3 linked regions of the Styela clava genome follow. The main gene of each other region encodes a partner of the protein of the gene in region 2 in a complex. Links are inferred from orthologs where the notes say so. Each region holds a gene or a part of one and is shown on either strand. Other genes may lie near its edges.

The links.
Region 1: the proteins of origin recognition complex subunit 3-like (region 2) and origin recognition complex subunit 4-like are in contact, whole or in part, in a crystal structure (PDB 4XGC), measured with the Drosophila melanogaster proteins. The link is inferred for Styela clava from reciprocal best matches to the Drosophila melanogaster genes Orc3 and Orc4. Residues at the interface, in NP_476904.1 of Drosophila melanogaster: Ala217, His250, Gly251, Leu253, Pro254, Tyr255, His256; in NP_477320.1 of Drosophila melanogaster: Lys395, Glu398, His399, Ile402, Lys419, Lys422.
Region 3: the proteins of origin recognition complex subunit 3-like (region 2) and origin recognition complex subunit 2-like are in contact, whole or in part, in a cryo-EM structure (PDB 7JK6), measured with the Drosophila melanogaster proteins. The link is inferred for Styela clava from reciprocal best matches to the Drosophila melanogaster genes Orc3 and Orc2. Residues at the interface, in NP_476904.1 of Drosophila melanogaster: Gly10, Cys11, Phe12, Val13, Tyr14, Lys15, Asn16, Ala18, Thr19, Arg20, Ser38, Leu39, Leu40, Tyr50, Tyr53, Arg54, Asn106, Pro108, Arg135, Asp136, Ala142, Arg177, Arg180, Asp308, His312, Gln316, Lys319, Tyr320, Met323, Phe327; in NP_731873.1 of Drosophila melanogaster: Ala331, Ile332, Lys342, Met344, Cys345, Ile346, Leu347, Asn348, Glu349, Phe351, Tyr356, Leu358, His369, Lys375, Thr377, Val378, Leu379, Val380, Val381, Asn382, Phe385, Asp392, Ser396, Asp400, Ile401, Leu402, Asp403, Asn410, His412, Glu413.

What each region holds. Positions count from the first base shown.
Region 1 is NC_135254.1:23,097,757-23,105,151, forward strand, and holds the start of origin recognition complex subunit 4-like, read left to right. Parts: upstream 1-4,322; 5' UTR 4,323-6,486; coding exon 6,487-7,395.
Region 2 is NC_135256.1:21,541,477-21,549,001, forward strand, and holds origin recognition complex subunit 3-like, read right to left. Parts: upstream 3,063-7,525; 5' UTR 2,898-3,062; coding exon 678-2,897; 3' UTR 280-677; downstream 1-279. Other genes in the region: leucine-rich repeat-containing protein 47-like, read right to left, coding at 1-237.
Region 3 is NC_135262.1:2,458,334-2,465,870, reverse strand, and holds the start of origin recognition complex subunit 2-like, read right to left. Parts: upstream 3,094-7,537; 5' UTR 2,712-3,093; coding exon 1,985-2,711; intron 1,416-1,984; coding exon 274-1,415; 3' UTR 1-273. Other genes in the region: mitochondrial-processing peptidase subunit beta-like, read right to left, coding at 4,576-5,997. UniProt on the Drosophila melanogaster protein: Component of the origin recognition complex (ORC) that binds origins of replication. DNA-binding is ATP-dependent, however specific DNA sequences that define origins of replication have not been identified so far.

The sequences.
Region 1 (7,395 bases), on a different chromosome or scaffold from region 2:
TTGGTGTGCATAACAATGTAAAAAATGCGCACGAGGAAAATCTTCTTTTATATAAACTTGAACACCCACTCATGACTGCCGCGCCAAATGTTGTAAATAAATTTTATACATTGAGTCGAGAAAATCATTTTGGATATCCTTAGATGTCCCTTTCGACACAGTTGCGGCATCAAGATGATCTCTCAATACTGTATCTAGGGATGCGGTGTATTCCACCATATCCAAAAATACCCCTCTATTAGAAGAGCCAGCCCGTTCATCGTGCCCACGGAGGGACAGCCCGTGACAACCAATGAACTTCAAAACATCTATCAATCGACCGAGAACATGGCGGTTTTTCTCGACGTTTTGGTTGTGCCGACGAATAGAAACCGCGCGTCCTTCATCCAACTGTGCTGCAATAATAACATTTCCGAATGTTCGGTATTTTACTGCATTGTCCAGATGCTCCATAGAAGATTGATGATCCCTGGCACGCTCGGAAAGATGATTAAGATCTCTAAAACCAAATTTACACCAACGTGAGTCACGGGCGGTAGCAAAAAGTAGGCAATAAAAACAAAAAAGTGCATTTTTGTCCTCGCTGTAACACAACCATTCGTGTTTTTTATACCAAGTTTCTGCGCAGAATGTACGCCGACGCTTTCCTCCGTCATGGGATTGTTCCAGTGAACAATTTTTTGGTTGATAAGGCCCAAGACGTTGTACCTCTAGTTTTTGTTCCAGCGGGAGCTGCGAAAACGGAGTGCGAAGTAGTGCATCAACCTTATTCATTATGAGGTCTAAGGCTAAGAAATGCGAAGCCGGAAAGAAGTGAGGAGCTCAAAAGGAATGTGGAAAATCGAAAGCAAATGGACTAAAGGTCTCTAACTGATTCAAATAGCGAAACAAGCAACAAAAACGAAGGCGAGGAAACTATCAACTCTTCAAGCAACCAACGAACGAGAAGGAATGCGTGAATAAGTCAACACGTTGTTGTAAGAAACGTCGGCATTGTGTCGTCATAATATCGGGGCTAGCCCCGATCGGCCCTGATGATTTAGTAAAAGAAACAGAAAACAAACGAGACAAACGCGGCGAGTGGAAGATAAAAGAGAGAATACGATATACAATGAGCAACCGGGGCAAAATCGGCGTCGCCCCGTCGACGTTCGGCGAAGGCTTTGCGAGCGAAAAATGAACCATATCGGGAGAATATGGCTAGTGTAGACAGTCTGTGCAACCGATATTGAGGTATTTTTCCAATATTTTTTATTATACCGAAAAAACAACCGGGGCATTGCCCCGGTTGGCCCTATTGATGCGCCGCCACTGGGTCATGAACTGTCCGGAATTTTGCTTTTTCAAATATGGTGACCCTAGGTTAGATGTTCACATTGAACTTGGCTGTATTTATTACGTTTTCAGACGTTATTACATCATATATTTACGATTACACCCATTTTCATCTTTTCCGGGATGCCTAAAAAGGGCCTAATCGTGCCAGCTGGTGGCAATTTAATATTCCTGAGCAAAATAACTAGACGCAAGTGCATACATTGGATATTCAACTATGACTAGGGTAATCAGTAGCACCAATATATTCATATTATCGTCTTTTATTAGTGATTAGCCTCCTTTCATTTTTGAAGAGCGAAGGATATGTTGTGATCAAGAGCATGGACCCCTACCTAATACTACGTTACAACCCGCATTCTTGGGTTCACCCTTTGCACCTTGCATGGTCTATCTATAATCTGTTCTATATCATATCCGACTATTTTTAACTGATTCATTATTTTATTAAGTTATTACATCCATTTTCCCCCTTTTTCCTAAATTCCTATAAAATTGCCTTGTCGATCGTGCCTACCTGTACCAATTTATAATTCATGCATAAAACTTCCAGACTCAAATGCATTCATCGAAAATTCACCTAGTATCACTAGCATTTATATTTTATATTTATAGTCTTTTATTAGTGATGATTTATTTCTTTTTCCAAGTACCTAGCGTATGTGGTGATCAAGCGCGTGCGACTTCTTCTAAAACTACGTTTTAATCCTAATTAATGGATTTACTGGTTGCATTTTTCGTGTTCAACATTTAATTTGGCTAATTTTAACTAATTCATTTTCTTTTCAAAAGGTATTACGCCCATTTCATTATTTTTCCAAAGTGCATGAAAAGTCATAACCGGTTCCTGTAACAATTTAGGATTTACATATTTATCCAGGGGGAGAGGAAAGCCATAAGACGGCTTATCCATATGGAAAAACCACGGCCTCTCGTCCGGTTATCATTCCAAGTCGGTTGTGGGATAAGTTATTGGACACGTAGTGGACATAGCGATCGTTTCAATATTATGTTGTTGTTGTTGTTCTTGTTCTTGTTCTTTGACACGTTTTTAAAAAGTCGCTTTTCTCTGTGATGACTGGACCAATTGCTTTGAAATTTTCAGTGGTTGAAGATAAAAATTTTCTTCAGAAGGCTATTACTTTTTTTTACTGCAATGACGGCATCAGAATTATTGCCCTTAGGGGGCGCTACGTGTCCATATATTTGAGCATAGCTCTCTTGTATTGTTTGTTTTCGGAAACATGGACTTGGTGGTGGAGGAAGCCGTAACCGACCAGCGGTTACGTGAACCACCCAACGACGGCGAGGAGACTAGCAATCCTCTCGCACATAACCATCCCTGCATGGGATTCGAACCTGCGAACCCACGCAGAGTAATTAGAGGTGCGGTGGCGAGCGTATTCCTAACGCTTAGCCCGTTGAGCCACACCGCCGCGCCAGGACGGGTTTATTATTCTTCAATACCACTACTAGACTCAAGTGCATTCATCGGATATTCACTCAGGCTAATTAATGTGACTTATATTTTTATTTCTCGGTTTTTATTGTTATTGGTGATAATTTATTGTATTTATCGCGTTTTGTTAGACTTTCTCAACGGTGTCGCCGCTCGATAACCAGCTTTGGTTTTCGGCGTCTCCCTTCACCCTAAAATGCGATTTTTTTTATATATTTCTTTTAAATTGTGTATGTAGAATTCGTATTTTTCAGCATGATGAAAAAATAAATTACTGATTACTGACTGATTACATTCTTCATTTTTTTGAAGTGCCTAGCGTATTTGGTGAGAGAGCGCGTGCGACTTTTAGTACTACGTTTCAACTACAGTATCATTTTTGGGTTTACTTGTTGTACTTTGCGTGTTCAATGTTTAATTTGACTATTTTTACCTAATTCATTGTCTTTTTAAAAGATATTACGCCCATTTTACCCTTTTTCCGAAGTGCATAAATAGGTGCCTAATTTTTAGGTGCCTACTTTCAGTCCGTCCCCTGAAGGGTTACGGTACCGGTATCACTGGAATTTGCATACCGTACCGGTAGTTGTTAGGAATTTTGTCAGTTTGTTAAAGCGTAAATACGGTTAAAGTCTAAGCAGTCTTTCAGCTATTAGAATTTGACTAGATTAGCTTGAATAATTATGTGTGTTTAAAGTCAGATACTACAGTCAGACAGTACCGTACCGGTACCGGTACCGGTACCAGTAGCCTACGGTACTACAGGATAAATGGGAATTTAGATACAGTCTCTGTTGAGAGCCTCAATTTGCGTTGTTTTAGTTTTGTATGATGATTAAGAACTCGTACAGTCCAGCAGTCTGTAACTACCGGTACTGAACTACAGAACTAGATGTAAGATAAGATTATTTTGTTTTAATTTAGTCTATTAGAAATAGTGTAAAATTTTCATTTGCTAATTGTCATTTTTTATGTAACTATTGTTCATTTATGACATTAACAACATGAAAATTTGATACAACCAACTGGATAATACTGTACCGGTAATATGTACCGGTACCGGTATTTGAATAAATGAGACCAGTGGTTCCCAAACTGTGGATCGCGACCCCATCCGATTTTTTGGGGTCGCCTAACTTCTGCCGAACATACACACACAAGTGAATAGAATTTGAAAATTGTATAGTGAAATTTTTGCTGGCAAATACCGTAAAATTTCCAAACTTAGGATTTTTAGCAATATCTTGACCATTTGTTGTCCAAACAGTGCCAGAATGGCTCGATTCTTTTTATAGCTTTTTTGATCATCTTACATTCAAATAAATTGTAGACCCGCTGGTAAGCGAATTGGATTTAGACCATTGCCAGTCTGCGAGAAATTACGTTGGTTTTTTATTTTGTATCTGTGTAGCCCACCGTTTCTCAAATTGTATGCCGCGGCACGCTAGTGTGTCGCAAGAGCTTCTCAGGTGTGCAACGGAGCTTTTTGAAATTTTAGAAAATAAGCTATTCGTGTTACACATTCAGACATTGGAATGCATGCAACGGGCAAGCTTGTGAGACTTGAGTATCCGGTATTAGACTGGTAATATAATTACATTTGCCTTATCGATGTAGTACAGTAGTAAGAGTGATTTTCTACTATGACTGAAATTAAAAGCAAAAAAGGGAGCGACGGAACATCATTTCAATTGTTTCTCAAAACAGACCACACACATCTCATTAACATTTGCAGAATAATTTGTTTAAGGATAACTTTATTTTGTTACAAGTGTGCCGCAGGATATTTTTCATTTGCTTAGTGCCCCGTGAGCAAAAAAAGTTTGAGAACTACTGGTGTAGCCGCTTGGTTTGGAAGATACAAAGCAAAGTTGCTTTATTTGGCGAACGGTCCTTAGTTAGGTGTTTGACATGTTTGGTATTGATTACCAGGCGGTGTCTTGGCGGAGTATTGGCACTGTAGGTTTTGATCAGTTGCGAAAGCACTTTGTTAATTTGCGCACGTGTCCAAAATCTATGAGTCGGCTGCGTGTTTTGCCCACATTGACCCCACATAAAAGTGAACGTTTTCGTATTGCGATATTACGTATTCAGAAGTTTCATACATACTTTCAAAGCGTTCCGAGTAGTCAAACACAAAACCACAACAAGTTTTAGCATAATAGAAGGCACCTGAAAGATGTGATTTCGTTCACGTTTTCCCTATTTTACTCTCATGCTCCGTTTTAATTTAAAATTATTAATGGAGCAATCTGTATTATGTTAACATTGTAATCAAAATAATAAAGACACTGTTGGAATATACTAAATAAGATTTAAAATTTATGTATATTTAGAAGCATCTTACTATCTCCAAATCTCACTATTTCCGAAGTATCATAAGCTTCCTTACAGTTACAATCTACCACATTTTATCAAGTCCGTCTAGTACTGTAGGTTTCGCTAAAGAACCGTTAAAATCCTGATCTAAGAGATTTTTACACTGTGGTTTTCATATCATGCCATGTGTTATCAAATCTTCCGAAGTTCCCCCGTTTTCTGGCGCATTGACGGACTCGTTCATATATTTTTGGGCCAATGTTCATCGTCAACGTCCATTTACAGTAGATATACTGGTACATTGTTCCCATTGAGGTATTTAAAATGATACATAGTACTGATTTCTGAAGTTGCTCAACGTTTCTAGTTGTGGGTCGCGAGTATCTGTGGGCTTTGATTTTATGAAAATTGGGGTCGCGACAAAAAAAAGTTTGGGAGCCACTGAAATAGCAATACCGATGCTGAATTAATGGAACATACAATGGTGATGGGGATCTTATTGGATGGTAACATTTTATGTAATGTGATGAATATTGGAGTATTCCTGTTTTTACCACATAAAAAAAAAATCCTAACTCAGTAACTAGAGCCTCTATTATACTGTTATAGCAATACAGCACACTATCCAAATTCCAAGAATTTCCCTCCATTTGGCTCAATAAAAACAAACACTTTATGTGTCTCACAAAGGTGGGGCGTCTGGGATCACGTTAGATGCTTCATATCGCGCCATGCTTGTCTCAATAATATTCTAAATTAATCGCGGCCGCCACATGACCAAAATTGCTGTTTTTTGCTAAAAACTCTCAAATGCTACGGTAAAAATTTTTTCTTTCGATAAATCGGATTATTTTTTTCCGAGGAATTCAATGATGACGTTACTAAATTGCGCTTATTTGTAGTATTTGGCGCAACTTTATTATACTGTATTTTTACCGATATTGAGGGACAACAATGTCCAGACGTCTCCCTAAGGAGGGGTGTCTGATCATCTGTAAAATGGGTTTCTCTGAATTAGGACAATGTCACCCGACTTGTATAGTGTGCCGTACTGTATAGGTAAAATATTTATGTGAATTTGTCAAGTGGCTTCCTTGTCAGTTTGTCAATCGTAATCCTATTGGAAATCATTTTATTTGTCTGACTAAGGTGGTATGTATGTAATTCTGATTTTTGGATGCAGTCTTCATTTCATTACTAGCCTACTGTCTGACTGTACTATGTCTGTATGTCAGCATGCAGTAATAGTTTTTTTTTATTTTTTGTGCTTGACTGTCTGACTGTATGCAAAAATTTTTATTTTTCATTTTTTTGTTCACCAGATATTCTTTAATTCTGTTCCATCAAATTACACTATACAGCCATACATAATAATGAGCCTCTTGAGTTCAGCACACGACTTAATCAGGAAAAGAATGGCTGGGTTATCTACACCTCAAAATATTCGCAAGGATATGAATCAATATTTTCTAAACATAGAACAGTTATTAAAACGAACAGTTGAATTGGGAGAAAGCAATTCACTTCTTATTATTGGTCCAAGCGGATCTGGCAAGACAACATTACTGAAAAAGTCTTTAACAAACATTAAAAAAGATGTTAACATAGGGAAAAATTTGATGGAAGTACATTTAAATGGTTTAATTCAAACTGATGACAGAATTGCATTAGAAGAAATTACAAGACTATTACATCTTGAGAATACAGTTGGAGATCGCGTGTTTGGTTCTTTTTCGGAAAATTTAGCATTTTTATTGGAAGCTTTGCGGACAGGCAAATCGTCAACTTCTTGCCCTATTCTTTTCGTTTTGGACAATTTTGAGCTTTTTGCTATGCATAAAAATCAAACCCTGTTGTATAACCTTTTTGATATTACGCAGGCGGGTACTACACCTATGGCAGTAATAGGTCTCACTTGTAGACTTGATGTTATGGATTTGTTAGAAAAAAGAGTAAAATCGAGGTTTTCACATAGACAAATATATATTCATAATGGAAGTAATTTTGATCAATATGTAGCAACTTTCAAGGACTTACTCACTCTCAATGCGGATGATATTAAAACATTTGCTGGAAACAAGAATGAGAAAAATAAATTTCTGAAGCAGTGGAATAATTTTGTTGAAAAAATTACATCTGATTCATCAGTGCTTCGGTCACTTCAATTTCAGTTTGATATTTGCAAGGAAGTTTCTTCGTTGTACACTGCGCTTGCACTCGTATTGTTTAAATTAGATCCGTTTGCAAAGCCATCAGATACTGCAGGTGAAATAGTCGATGCA
Region 2 (7,525 bases):
GTTGTTACCATTTATAATCAATTGCATTAAAGCTGACAGTGAACTTATATCTTTCGACAAACTTGTGATTCCACATTCTGAAACTTCCAGAAAATTCAGCAGTGTCAAAGAATATAGATCCTCGGGAAGAACATTGTCATTCTTTTCTATCTTCAATCTTGTATCCGGTGTTCCTTTAATGACCAATTCTCTCCTCTTCTCTTCCTTACATTGAGCAATTTCAGGCCAATCGGACATTGAAATTTGCTACTTTTCAAGTTGGACAAAATAAATTAACAATCTGTTTAAGAAAAAGTGATAAAGTGAATTATTAAGCACAAAAATGCAGTGAGATTTTTTCTTTGTAGTGAGAAAAGGCATATATGACGAAAAATAAATGCAGGAATCACCAATGTTATAAATAGCCCATTGTATATTCATCCCATATATGGGCAAGAACATGGAATGCTTATATTTGATACTGTATTCCAGAGTACTGACGACTATGAAATTTCATCTTCTCATTTCAAATATTAATTTGTTATTTATAATTCATATTTTTGAGCAGCTTTATTATCAAAAATCCCTTAAACAAAACCATTCAAATGTCTCCAGCAAGAACCAAAACAGAACATTATTGATGAAAATGGAATACGCTGAAAAATCAGTTTTGAATCATGAACAAATAAATAACGATTTCAGGAATGAGACCAGGTTAATCGTTGGACATGATCAGTCTTTCGTTTTGTAGGTTTGATAAAACCTAGGAATTGTAATTCTGACGCAGCTCTGATAAATCGAGCCTGAGTAAATTTGTTGATTTCTTCATTTTGATTGTTTTCTTTATCACTATGTGGATTATTGTCGCCAGAATTTACAATTGTATGAAATGCTTCCAACCAATCATATAAATTTATAATTTTCCCACATTCATTATGCAATTTGTATGCAATGGAGACATCCGGTGCAGAAGGTGGAATAACACCATCAGTAGCATCCAAGCAAGGCTGTTGTAAATAACAATTGGGATCTGACAATGCTGTTTGAATTGCAAGTCGTGGTGCTGCTATCATATGCCGTTTTATAGTTGATGTAGAATCAAAATAAAAAATTTCATGAAACGGAAATGATCTTGGAGGAAGTAATATTTTTGTAAACAAGACATCCAAAATTTCAAGTGCTTTGATCCTCAGTTTCTCAAACGTGGACATTTTTTTAACTTTCTTTTCATGTGCCTTTTTCTTCAAATTTTCTTTCAGCTGATAAGCATATTTCACTTTTTCAAGGGGTTCATCCTCCTTTTGTTCTGCAATATTCTCATCTTCTTCATTTTGAGGCAAGTCTTCTTCTTTTTGATCTTCAGGATGTAGTAATTCATTAATAACTGAATTTATTTCTGACTTTGCATCAATAACCATGGCAAAAATGTTTGAATTTGGTCTTGCATTCTGTGGCATATCATCCAGTTCTTTAACACAAGACTGTAATCTTTGAATCAGTTGATCCCTTGAAGATACTCGCAAGAACATCTTTGCTTGTTTGTATTCATCCGAATTAACGATAGGCCCATGATCGCATGCGCAATACAGCTCTCGTAAATGACGTCCCAGTGGATGACGTGGAAGTGATTTACAAAGAGAAAACAATGAACGCATCACAGGATAAAAGCAGTGATGAAATTCATGAATATCCTCCAACATTTTTTTCACTAAAATTTTAAAATCTTCATCAGAACTTTGCAAAAGTTCTTTTCGTTTTGTTGTTAAAGATTTGAAATAAGTTTTAACAGACGGTAAATCACGAAGTTTTTGTAGAAGTGAACCAGACAATTTTTCATGATACTTGTTAGCTTCTGCGATATTGTTTGTGCAAAATAACGAAGTTGGCTGCTCATAAAAATGGTTAAGCACACAAAATTTCAGAATGTGCAAAAAAGTTGTTACAGAAAAATCGTGGCACAGGAAAACATCAAGTAATAACTGCATGCATTTCCCACTCAATTTAAATGAATAACCAGAAGTGAGTAAAATGTTGTCAATAATCATAGCAAGATGTTTTGATGCTGTAGGAGAATGAAATTTTTCGAGACAAAGATGCACAGTGGCTGAATGGGGCAGTTGGCGATCAATCACACTTGTCCATGAAGTCGCAACCCCAAATATGAATATAACTGGAAAAGTATCAACAGTTGTACTAAACATTGCAATTAAATCTTGTAATAAATATGGAAGAAAGGATTCCATATCTCGCAGCATAATTACAATGGGAGGTGTATTTGATGACAAACTCTTCTTGCTTTGTTTTCTTTTCTTACTTTCTAAGGAATTATCAGCTTGCGAAAACCATTTTTCAAGTAGGGGCATTGTTAATGGTGCTGATCTTTTCCAAATAAAATTATTTGATTTGTCAGTTTCAAGATCCCCAGTATCTTCAACAGAAACATTGTGCAGATCTTCGGCTTCTCCTAATATGAGCTGCTGCCCAATGCAACGCATTAAACTTTTCATATTCAAACAATTTTTGGAGCATAAAACTGCAACATGTGGAGTGATTGTTTTCGAAACTTCCTCTGATAACTGGTGAAAAAATCCAGCATGATCTGGCATATTAACACCAGTAATAAGAGCAGCAGCTGGGATTTCAGCTCTTTTTCCTCCAACTTCACGATTAGAGCTATGAGAATTTTTTAAAAAATCAATCAAATCAGATAGTATGTTTGCAGTAAGATCTAGATGTAAATTCCTAATTTTACATTCCATATCTATCCATACTTTTTGCGAAAGCTCCCATCGAGTTTTGCTTGACTCTGAACATGAAAAGTACTTTCCTGCGTTTATATCTTGAATTGTTTTCTTCTTTTTTTTGGCTGGTAACACGAAACATCCCTTCGACACAGAAGTTAAACTTTTGTTATTCATAATAAATAATAATTAACTAGCCTAAATCCACAAAAAGAAGTTGTTTTATGTCCTGTTCGGGCAGACAATCAATCCTTTCTGTTTCAGTCATTTACCAATCCCTGCATCCACGCTGAGTTTCAGAGTAACATGCCAAAAAAGGGGCTTCCCCATCGAATATACTTTACACCAGGGGTCGGCCGGCAACCTTTTGTCGCTCGCGGGCCAAATTTAAGGGTTGTACGGTAAGTCATTGGCGGGCCGCACATATTTTCAGAAAGTTGATAACCGAACGGATGATACGTTTTATAATAAAAATCAAGCAGTGATACATCTCTCGAAGAGAATATAGATTTATTTTCTCATTGCATTGCATCTCAAAATATTCCATTTCAATATTCGGCACCATTGAACCCTTTGCAGTTAGCATCAACTTTTCTGCGTTTTGTTGCAATTCGTCTAATTATATTAAATTATATTCTCATTAAGCGAGTTATTGTGAATTTTATACTTGTTAGAATATAATATATTTTGGTCTAAACGTGACTCACAATAAATTCTGTTACGTGAAGAATATAATCGCCAAAACAGCTGTTTTGTTACTATAGTTCAGTAAAGCGTCGCAGGCCGGATTATATTACTCCGCGGGCCGGATTATATTACTCCGCGGGCCGAATCCGGTCCGCGGGCCGTAGGTTGCCGACCCCTGCTCTACACATTCACGCGTTGAAAGTGGCCAGGGAGAGAGGGAGAGCAAAGTCAACAAATTGGATTTTATTATAATTTCGGGAAATGGGAAAGTCTTTGATATGCTTAGAAGATGTGATACACCAGGCTAAACGTTTTCAACTTGCTTATCATACTAACATTTCAAAGATAAAATCTTAAAATAAAATAAAACCGACCGAAAGACATACGGTGTTAGTCGATGGTGACTTTTTGGAAAAATGTCAACTTTTTGTCATTCAATTCAGAAATGATTTCTATTTATGGGAAGCTAAAGTTGGCACTTAAAAGTAGAGCAATAATGCCCAGCAGACGCAAAAACTTGTCAAACCAATTTCATTGGATGGCAGACGAAAACAATAAGTTTGTATATATGGTGAAAAGTATTAACAACGGCTAACCTACTGCTGAGAAAAATGACAGAATGCCACCTCCCATGAAAACATGATAGTCTTCATCTTATTATTCGAAAACGTGCAATTTTGTTTCCAGATGTCGTATATGAAAATAGCTAATCAGTTATTTCATCAGGTGAATGGACTTGCACACTGGACACGTCTTTCTGCATCATTCTTGACGGTGGAATGTAAAAAATTAAAAAATGTTCAAATTAGTCATGTGAATGTTTTGCTGTTATTTTCTATCATAGTTGCATTACCACTTGCGGCGGAGTGAAATTAAAGAAAATGGAATATTGGTTTAGACCAACAAATTGACAATTTTTATCTGTGAACATCGGAAAAATTTTCCACAGTGCTCCAGCAATACCTTAAGTTTTCGATAAACGCAGCGCCTAGGTACCAAGATGTACCGTATTCAAGAAGCGATTTTCGCAACCGCTGCAGTATCCACTCGAAATAAATCTAGATGATAAACAGTTACATACAATTCAGTGATTCCCAAAGTAGGCGATATCGCCCCCGGTGGGCGAAAACGATACAGAAGAGGGCGAAAAAGTCGAGGGGGGCGATTTGGCGAAACCTGTTTTTGTTGGGCGCATCGTGCACTTGGATACTGTACTCTGCGTGCTTTCGTAGGTTTCAATCACGTGGGCAATTATCACACGCGAAATGATTGCTGGACTCGTCTACGCCGTAAGGTACGGTAGTTTGCGTATCCCAGTGTTCGGTAAAATACGGCCGGAGTGAAATATTCTGGCCCGGGACGCTTCACTGAATGGACCTTTCTCTGACCTTTGACCCCGGTAAATTCTTTCTATATTTCGGTGCGTATTTTGGGAGTGGTTTCGCGGGTTGTCGCCTGTAAAATTGGGTATTTGTTTCAAACTATCATTCTAATTCATAACATTCAACAATCTGTTTTTTAAAAGTACCAGTAAAGAATTTAAGCCTAGTCTCGTCACAGCTATTTCTACACTAATTTTTGATTACTGCAATTAAACTGAAACTCCCATAAAGACAAAGTGATCATTGAATTATTTGATTTATATTCAAATTTCCGAAACACAACTAAAAACTAACGAATATAATTCAGAAAACGCGAAAATGGGTAGCCTAATGTTTACAACCACGCCTCAAAATCTGTTTGAGTGAGAAAAGTGTCTGAGCAGTTGCGAAATGGGGCATTCTTACGTTTATTTTTGCATCGTGATGATTGGCCAATGTCACGAAGTAAACGAGGAAATCTATGCCCGAGGAAACATCCATTATACAGACAACACGGCGGTTTTGACGATGAATTAATTTTATTTATAATCTACGCTCGAGGAGTAAATTACATTTTGTACGTAACAGAATTTATCGGGGGACACGTTTAGACTGAATTATATTATATCCTAACAATTTAGTGAACAGCTAGCTCGTTTAACGAGCCTACAATTTAAAAATTGTTTTGTTTATAATTCGCAAAATTTAAACAGATATCTTCAACAAAAAGGTCGAGTAGTGAGCGTTTTCTCAAGCAGGCGATGGTGAACAAGCCTATCGAAGAAGCATGGTTGATAACACAAAGTTCGCCTTGCATCTTAAGTAAGTCAAATAAATATGTAAAACAATTATTCTGGTAGAGGAAATTATCGATTACTAATTTTAGATTTTGATTCTCAGGATTGCTCGAATATGCCAGTACCAAGCACGAATACCCACGGTTGTTCATACAGAAAATGGCGAGCGAAACAACTTTGGAAGAGTATCGGACAAGATCTCCGATAACGAGAACATGCAGCATGCCAAATTTAGGTAAGTTAGTAAAGCTAAATGATAACATAAATTCTTAATATTGCATGTATATAATTAAGTTTTGCGACTATGGAGGGTTGCCTGTATGGAAATGTAGCAGATTGATTCCCGACCTTTTATGGTTTGTGGTCCCCTTCAGAGGTTTTTAGTAGGCTACTCATGCCCCCACCCCCCTGTTTGTAATTTCATTGGTATTTATAGTAATATTTTAATTTGTAGATTCTAATTACCGTTATGTTTAAACAATTCATGCACAAAAAGTGAAAACCTTGTCAAGCAATGAAACTTGAAATAACGGAGAGTTTCCTTGTAAAGGGAGAAGTAAAATCAGTTTTGCTCCTAAATTGGTGGCCCCCTCCAACTGTTATGTGCCCCCCGTTTGAGAGCCTTGGGTCCCGGTTGGGAACCGTTAGACTGTAGCATAATTTTATTTTATATGACACAGAAGCAAGAACAACATATCAGATGAAACTATTATCTTGAATTTAAAATCAACAAAACTCATTGATGTAAAATTCATCCCTACGTTAAACATGTTGGAATTTATTTTTAGGATATGCATATATGAATTTGGAATGTGAAAAACATGAAGCTACGGAAGCTCATTTTGAAAACCCGGTGGAAAACTCGGTCTTAATTCCTCAACCTCTAGAAGTCTTGTTGCCAAGCAATTCTTAATTGAGTGAAAACAGGATGGCAGTTGAAAGCCTATTAATCGAAGAAGATATTGGTGTTTGGTAATTATCCCATTGTGCTTTTTTTCAACGGTATATGACTTTACAAACTTTTCATTTTACTTGTCGTAATTAATTGACGAATAAAACAGACCCAGTGAATCGCAACTACATATATCGTTGTGTAGGCCTACAGATAATTACAAAATGTTCACCAGCAATACAAGATAGACTGATCAAACCCACGGAAAGTCCGAGCTTTGAGCGTTCTAATATTCCGCACACCTGACAATGGGGCTATCGGGCTTTATAGTGCAATAATTTTCTTCATTCAAAGACGCGTACTTGTTGCACTTTACTGCTATTTGGATTACAACAGGAAGTCCATTTGAATTTGCGTTTATTCGACTGACATAGGATTCTCGTCGGGTTACCAACCGCCTGCGTAAAGTTCTGCGATTCCCTCGCACATATTCATTTCTCGTAAAATTCGCACTCATAAGTCCACGCAAGGCAATAGAATTTTGCCCCTAAATTTATATCTTAGAAATAATTTAAACCATTTGAATCAGGTAATCAGTTTCAAAAAACAATTCGACATTTATGAATGTTTATTCGTTTCGTCAGCCTTGTGGATACAAAGGTTGACATCGAAAACGAGCCTATAATACCCAGGCGAAACGAAAGACGAATCTATCCTCTTGGACAGAAAAGAAAATCGGAGGGAATGAGAACAGCCAATTTCATGAAGTGCCTCTTTTATCCAATTGCTCGTTGTTTTTGGTTGGCGGCGTGAAGAGAAAGACTAACAAAATATATTTGATACAATCTTTGTGAGTGAGTGTGAATGAGTCGATATTTTAGTGCCAGTTTTTTTCTTAGTTCTGAGTTCTTTTAAAAGTAAATTTAGGATATTGTATTCAGTGTCATTTTTAGTTTGATTATATGTACGAGATGATTGACCTATTTTAGAAATTTAATTGGAACTGTTCATAACAAAACAAATAGTTTGTGCAATTATTCAGTGATTAGTGCATTTTCATGACTATGC
Region 3 (7,537 bases), on a different chromosome or scaffold from region 2:
TTCTGGTCTTTTCAAGAATATTATCACATATCAGTGGAGCCCAGACATGGGTGAAAAAAGCAACTGAAAATCAATCAATTCAGTTTCTGAACTGAAAAGATTCTGGTCTAGTTCACAAAAAATGACAGCGAACTTCAGTGAAAATAAAACATGAATATCAGAGTGAAAATGACGGTTTCTGAACAGTGGATATTAGGCGAACAAAGCTTGGAGGAGTGTGAAAACACCTCAAAAACAAGTAATCACCTTCCATTCTAACAAAATTCCTCATTCTCAAAGTGATTGATCTAAATATTCTTGCAAAGTAGCGTTATCGAGGGGAATAGAGAGGTATTCGCCACCGTCAATACCTTTTTTGATTTCAACAAGTTTATGGTCGAGAAATTCCGTAAGTTGAGTCCGCAGCGTTAGTTCGCTGTTGACGAGAAACTTTTCACGACACATCTGATACAAATCAGAAAAAGAGAGTCCGATATAATTACTCGATTTTGACTCCTCGATTTGAAACTCTGTGAGAAGTTTAAAAATTCCTCGAGCATTAGGAGTTAAACTTCTTGCCACATGGACGAGGCCGCTTAGAGCTAATGAACCACCAATACCAGTTCCACTGGTCAACATAAGAAGCGAATCCTCAAATGAAGTTTCGTCTTTATAAGGTTCGTACGTTGTTACATCGTACCAGAGCCATTTGAATCGACATAACTTGGATTGGTCCCATATAAGGGGAGCATTTATGTGGTCTATGGTTGCAATAACATGAATCCGTGGACACGACGCTAGGCGACTTAAAATATTTTGAGTCTTATTGTTTCGTAAAGTTGTTCCATCAATATTGTGAATTATCAAGAATAAATGATCAACAAACCCATTGTCTGTGTATTTTTTACATATTGCGTCAACTTGAGCCTGCTGTTGGCTCCCTCCGATGGTGATATTTACGTCCGCAACCTCGCAAATTGACGCCAAAATTGAGCGTATAATTAAACTCGGAAAATAACCATTTATAACAATTTTATCAAACTCTGAGAGCATTTTTTCACAAAATTCATGCACTAGGTGGCGTTTTGATCCCAGTCCGTATAGTAGAATATTATAATCGTTAAAAATATAAAACATCCATTTACGAAAGTATTCTTCATAGCCTTGAATCAGCCACTGGCGAGAAAGCTCGATTTTTTCTACTTTGCTGAACATATGCGGATTAGAATTTTTTAATCCCGCGATTTTATTGTTCTGTAATTCCTCTAAGATAGAATGCATTGTTTCTTGGTTCATTTGAGGTATTTTTAGTCGTGCTAGAGTTCGATCAGAAGTACTCGCACCCAATTTTCTTCCACTTTTATGAGCCTCGAAATAAAGCTCTGTTTCCGATGGCAAGGCAATTCTTTTTGATGGCTGCGGCACTGGGGTTTGATCTAAGAAAAATATGCCAGTTAAGAAAATGATAAATTAACAGTTGAGTTCACAAATATATGGACAAGAATACCATAACAAAGTAGTAGGCCTATGTGTGGTGTATGCAATCTTTAACAGTAGACTACCAGTACCGCAGTTTTCATGACTTCGTCTGACTACCAGATAGCAATGAATGCGAAGCCGGCACATCATTGCACAAAAAAGATCAAATGCCATAGATACCACAGCAAGTTTTGAAATAAATTTTAGCCTTCTAGGAAAATTACAATCTTTAAACACTATAAATTCTAGAGGCAATTAGTCCAAGAGCGATTTTTCAATAAGGTAACTACGAAAAAAAAATACCAACACATCCTGCTGTGCGCTAGGAATATGTTCGCCACAACACCCAGCGAACTGGCAACCGGACGAGAGGCCGTGGTTTGCCATATAATTACGGTAAGCAATCTTATCGGCTCTCCCATCCTCCGGGATAAATATGTAAATCATAACCTATCTAAAACGATTCATAAGTCCATGCTGATTCGCATGAGACATGAACTCAACCAAGATAGTTTAATTCGCAAACCTTGTCGTTCATCTTGTTCTTCCTCATCTTCACTATTTTCCTCTTCACTGGAGTCAGAATTATCGTCAACTTGTTGATTAGCTTGCATCTCTTGAACAAGATATTTTTTTGTGCGATTCGAGGTTCTTGTTGGTGTATCAAGTGCATCGTTGTTCGATTTTTTACCTGGCGTTTTAGATGAACTGTCGGTGTCATTTTCAGCGAACTTAACACTTGGTGTTTTAGGCTCTATTTCTGTGGCTGGTTTGGAAGGTGTCTTAGAAGTCTTCGATTTTTTCTTCGGCGTTTTGGAGTTACTTTTTTCAACCAATGGATCGTTATTTTCATTATTCGCCGATTGTTTTGCACTGGATACTTTTCTTGCAGATTCAGACGCTAGTTTCGACATTTGTTTAGCTCGTTTCGGAGTTTTAAAACCGTACACATCTACTCCTCCATATTGTACGTTACTTTCAAGTAGAGATGTCGGAACGAGTGACGTGATTTCACTCAAAATGTCTTTTTCTTCATTTTCCGCATATTTGACGCTTTTTTCTTTCTTTTTAGGGTTCTCAGAAGGCTTTTTCTTCTCAATTTTTGGGACATCGTTAAAGAACTCCGCTGCTATTGCCATAGAAGATCTTGTTTTTCGTTGGTTCTTGACTCCAAGCATAGTAACGTGATGCTCCACATCTTCATTTCCGACATGTTTTACAAGAACAGATCGTCGGCTTGGGGTTTTTGACATGGTTTATTGAACTGGTACGAAAAATTTGGAAATAAACCTTTCTTCTTCTTCCAAATTCAGCCGAAATTTTTTGAGGATTCCAGATGTTAAGTTTCCAAAAAATAGTTTTTCAAGTTTTTTCTTTGTTAGTGTGCGAAAAGAAAAAATACACAACCAAATGCTCTACAGAGGCAAGGCGAGAAATAGCATTCCCGCTGAGCAAAGTATTAAAAGCTTTTTGAGGACTTGCTCCAAGACAGGTCACACACATGTCCAACTAAACGCATCTATACAAGTTCAAGAACACTCAACTTTGTAACCAAATGTTTTTCAGAGGAACGCTGTGTCACTTCTAGGACAATTGCTGTCACTTATAGGACAATATTTCCACGGTGAACTGATAATTGTGAACAGTTTTTATGGAAATTTCTCCAGGCCAGGTCACAGTTAATGCACTCTTGATTCTTGAAGTTTTCTGAATATTGTGAGAATCTCCTTTGAGTGAAGCTTCTGTTGCATATAACTATTATAAATTATGTTAAATTAACTAAAATAACTAAGTTAAACAAAAAAGCACAACAGTTGAGCATTCAGAATTCAAATTGGAACATATTATGAGCAAATAATATATTTATGACATAACAATAGGAGATTTGACAGCAAATGAAAACTGAGTTTTATTTTAGTTATATGGAGTTATGGCTGACCTAGTAATGTCAAAGGATAGTTATTTTAAATCAGAGGATATTCAAATCTAAGAATCTACTATTCTGAATACATTATAAGATGATACTTTTAAATATGGAACGACAAATTTTATTATAAATTTGAGATCTCTTTTCTTCGATTCTATTTTATCATAGATTAGGATAAGTTGGAAGGTAATAACCTAGCTTCTTATCTGAACTTATCTTATCAGTAAGATAAACAGTACAAAAAAAAATGATCAGAGATTTTGTAACAATAACACCAACAGAATAGTACTCAAAGCTGAAATATCGAATAATACAATCATTTGATGAAAATTAATCAAGATTTTCTATTAATATAACAGAACTTGCCAACCCAGGTAATGAAATATCATACAGAATGGTCGCTAGAAGAGCAGAAAATTTGAAAGTAAGACGAGATCATGAATAAAATGAGTATAGGTATAGGTTGAATTGGAACAATATCCCACAAGTTAACCTTCAAAACACTACACGAGCTTGGACTTCTAGGTTAAGACATCGCTCTGAAGTGCGTGGACATCATTTTGAGCATCTATAAGTGGAATATAACATACCGTATATGCTCGTTTTACCGCCCGATCTTGATTAAGGGCCCGTTTGAATAGTCGCCCGTGTGAACAGAACATAAAAACAAATAAGGGCGCTAAGGAAATAAGAAGCGCTTTTGTCACAACGGATTAATGTCGTCAAATATTTGTCTTCAAAGATATCGTAATTTTTGTGTAGAATTTTACTTTAAAAATAACAAGCGCCCTTGCTTGAATAAGGGCCGGTTTGAATAAGGGCCCCGGTTAGTGAGTTTTTAAAATAAATATGGGCCCGGGCTACAAAACGAGCAAATACGGTATGCCTTTGAAAATCTTTGCACAAGTTATTCTTTTTATAAATAAATAGCTGTTTGACAAATTTTCCTTTTTTCTAGCGACTCGCACTGTATTACGCTATATTTATGAAACTTTTAGAGTTTTGATATAAGTAATAACCATAAATAACAGAATAAGTTACCCAAAAAACTCAAAGAAGGAAAAATATATCACCACCAATGACTAAAAAGAATCAAAATGCCCAAAACTGAGAACACTTTTCAATAAAAAACAGCAAAAGACAGAATTTTAAATTTTTTTAAAGTTATTTCTGCAGAATTGAGAGTCATTTTAGTTAAATAATCCAGAATGTACTTTGTACATTTTAGCACGAATGTTGGTGTACATTGGCAAAGCTTCTGTGGGTCCGATAGCCGCAACAGCGGGGTCTTGGTCGTAAACGTATTTTTGCATCGCATCTTTGACATCCTGGGTTCCGATTTGTTGGATTCTCATTGTCATTTCTGGCCACGGGATTCGGCGTCCGTAACATAACATCTGTCTTCCGATGTCTTCGCAAATTGGGGTCGTCCCGTCCATCATAATTGCCATGTTAGTAAGAAGCGTGTTTTTCGCACGCTCAACTTCGAAATCTGAGATTTGGTGACAGACTCTCATTAACTCATCTTGAATACGGACCGTACAATCAAACACATTTGCGTTATCTGTAACATAATAAATTCCCCATAGACCAGTGTCAGTGTACAAAGTATTGAATGACTGGAAGCTAACGCAAAGGTTTTCGTTTGCCATTCTACGCATGAGAGGATTCGGAAAATGAGCTCCGTTAGTCGAAGAGCGATCCCATGTTCCAATAATTTGATTCGCGATCATCAGTGGTATGGTGTCATAGTGATCCCATCCAACTCCTTCAACTGCAAGGGCAACATGAACATATGGCATCCTGTCGTCCCGATGTCGCATATCACTTCCAGTGAAGCGGCAAGGTTTAAGGCTATTTGATAGGGATTCTGCTACACTGGATTCCGTAGCTCCAAAGTATTGCTTCGCTAATTCAACCAGTTTGTCGTGGTCGACGCCCCCCGCTGCTGCCATGACCATTGAAGATGGCTTGTATCGACTTTGGATATACGTTACCAAATCATTTCGTGTTATCGACTTGATGTTCTCACTCGGCCCCAAGATCGTTAAACCCAGCGGAGTATTTTGGTACGCAGTCGCATGTAAATAATCGAAAACAACTTCTTGTTGGTTTTGTTCGATTTCTTCCATTTCCCTCAAAATCACGCCTCGTTCGCGCTCAATCTCTGCTTCTCCAAGAGTGCTGTTTTGAATAATATCAGCGAGAATTTCGACGGCCTGTGGTAGATCTTTCGAAAATGCTTTCGCATAATACACAGTCTGCTCACGAGAAGTATAAGCGTTAAGATGTGCACCCATGTTTTCAATCTCCAATTCTAATTCCAATTGAGAGCGATTTGATGTTCCTTTAAACGCCATGTGCTCTAAAAAGTGCGCAGTACCGTTGTTCTTCTCGGATTCGTAACGACTTCCAGCGTCAATCCATAAACCAACAGTACATGTCGGTAGATCAGAATTTTCAGTTGCAATTCGGAATCCATTGGATAAAGTTGTTACTCGTGTTTCTGGAGTATTGACTTGTACAACAGCTCGTGTTGCATCTCCGCGTTGAACAACCTGCTTCAGCTGTCTCGCAGGCTTGATTAAATTCTTTGCAAATCTTGAATACATTTTATAAACTGGATTTAACTAAAATATTACAACCCAAACTACAGGGGAAACTAAAAAAACAAAAATAATATGGCAAAATGGGAAGAAAATATTCTCACGAATGCTGGTGGATATTTTTTGTTTTAGACAGTATCGTACAGTTCTCCGATTGCAAGAATAGCCTCCACATTAGAGAAAATGGGTCTCGTGTAGTTTCATACCAAATGTACTTCTAGTGGGCGTAGCATAACAATTTTTCGATATGTCAATTCTAGCCCCCATCTGACTACGCCATCCAAAAATTACGTCACTACGACATCACAATCACGTCACAGAGCTTGCCAAATATACGTACAATCGCCCGAAATGGCATTAGCGCCTACAATAAAGCACTGACTGACGTTATCGATCTCTTTCCTATTTAAATCGTTGCGACGAGAAAACGAGAGAAAAAACTGTTCGATTTAGGATAGGATAGGATTTACATATTTATCCCGGGGGAGAGGAAAGCCGATAAGACGGTTTATCCATATGGCGAACCACGGCCTCTTGTCCGGTTACCATTCCAAGTCGGGTATGGGATTAGTTATATTGTTTGTTTTCGGAAGCGTGGACTTGGTGGTGGAGGAAGCCGTAACCGACCAGCGGTTACGTGAACCACCCAACGACGGCGAGGAGCCCAGCAATCCTCTCGCACATAACCATCCCTGCATGGGATTCGAACCTGCGAACCCATGCAGAGTAATTAGAGGTGCGGTGGCGAGCGTATTCCTAACGCTTAGCCCGTTGAGCCACACCGCCGCGCGATTTCGAGTGATCGTTTGCGCGTCTTGGATGGCAGTTCATATAGTTTAAAGGGCTCTATTACGTCACCGTGACATCGTAATGATGTAATTTTTGGATGACGTAGTCAGGTGGGGGTTAGGATTGATACATGAAAAAATTGTCATGCTACGCCCACTAGAAGTATGTTAGGTACGAAACTACATGAGACGTGAGAAAATCAATTACTGTTACTGGTATAACTGTGAGTGCTAACCCCTTCTTTATGAGACTGTCAGGGTCTTCAAATCGGCAGAGTGCAAAAAAAAATAAAAGGACAATCAAAAAAAATCACCATTCAGCCATTGGATTTCTAGGAAAAATAATGGGTCTCATGTAGTTTCGTATCTAACATACTTCTAGTGGGCATAGCATAACAATTTTTTCACCTGTCAATACTAACCCCTACCTGACTACGCCATCTAAAATTTGCGCCACAGTGACCTAATATAGCCCTTCAAACTATACGAACTGCCATCCAAGACGAGCACCCGAAATCGAACAGCTATTTCTCTCGTTCTCTCGTCGCGATCCCGGGTCTCATGTAGTTTAGTACCTAACATACTTCTAGTGGGCGTAGCATGACAATTTTTTCACGTATCAATCCCAACCCCCACCTGACTACACCATCCCAAAACTACATCAACACGACGTCACAGTGACGTAATAGAGCCCTTCAAACTATACGAACTACTATCCAAGATGCGCAAACGAGCACCCGAAATCAAACAGTTATTTC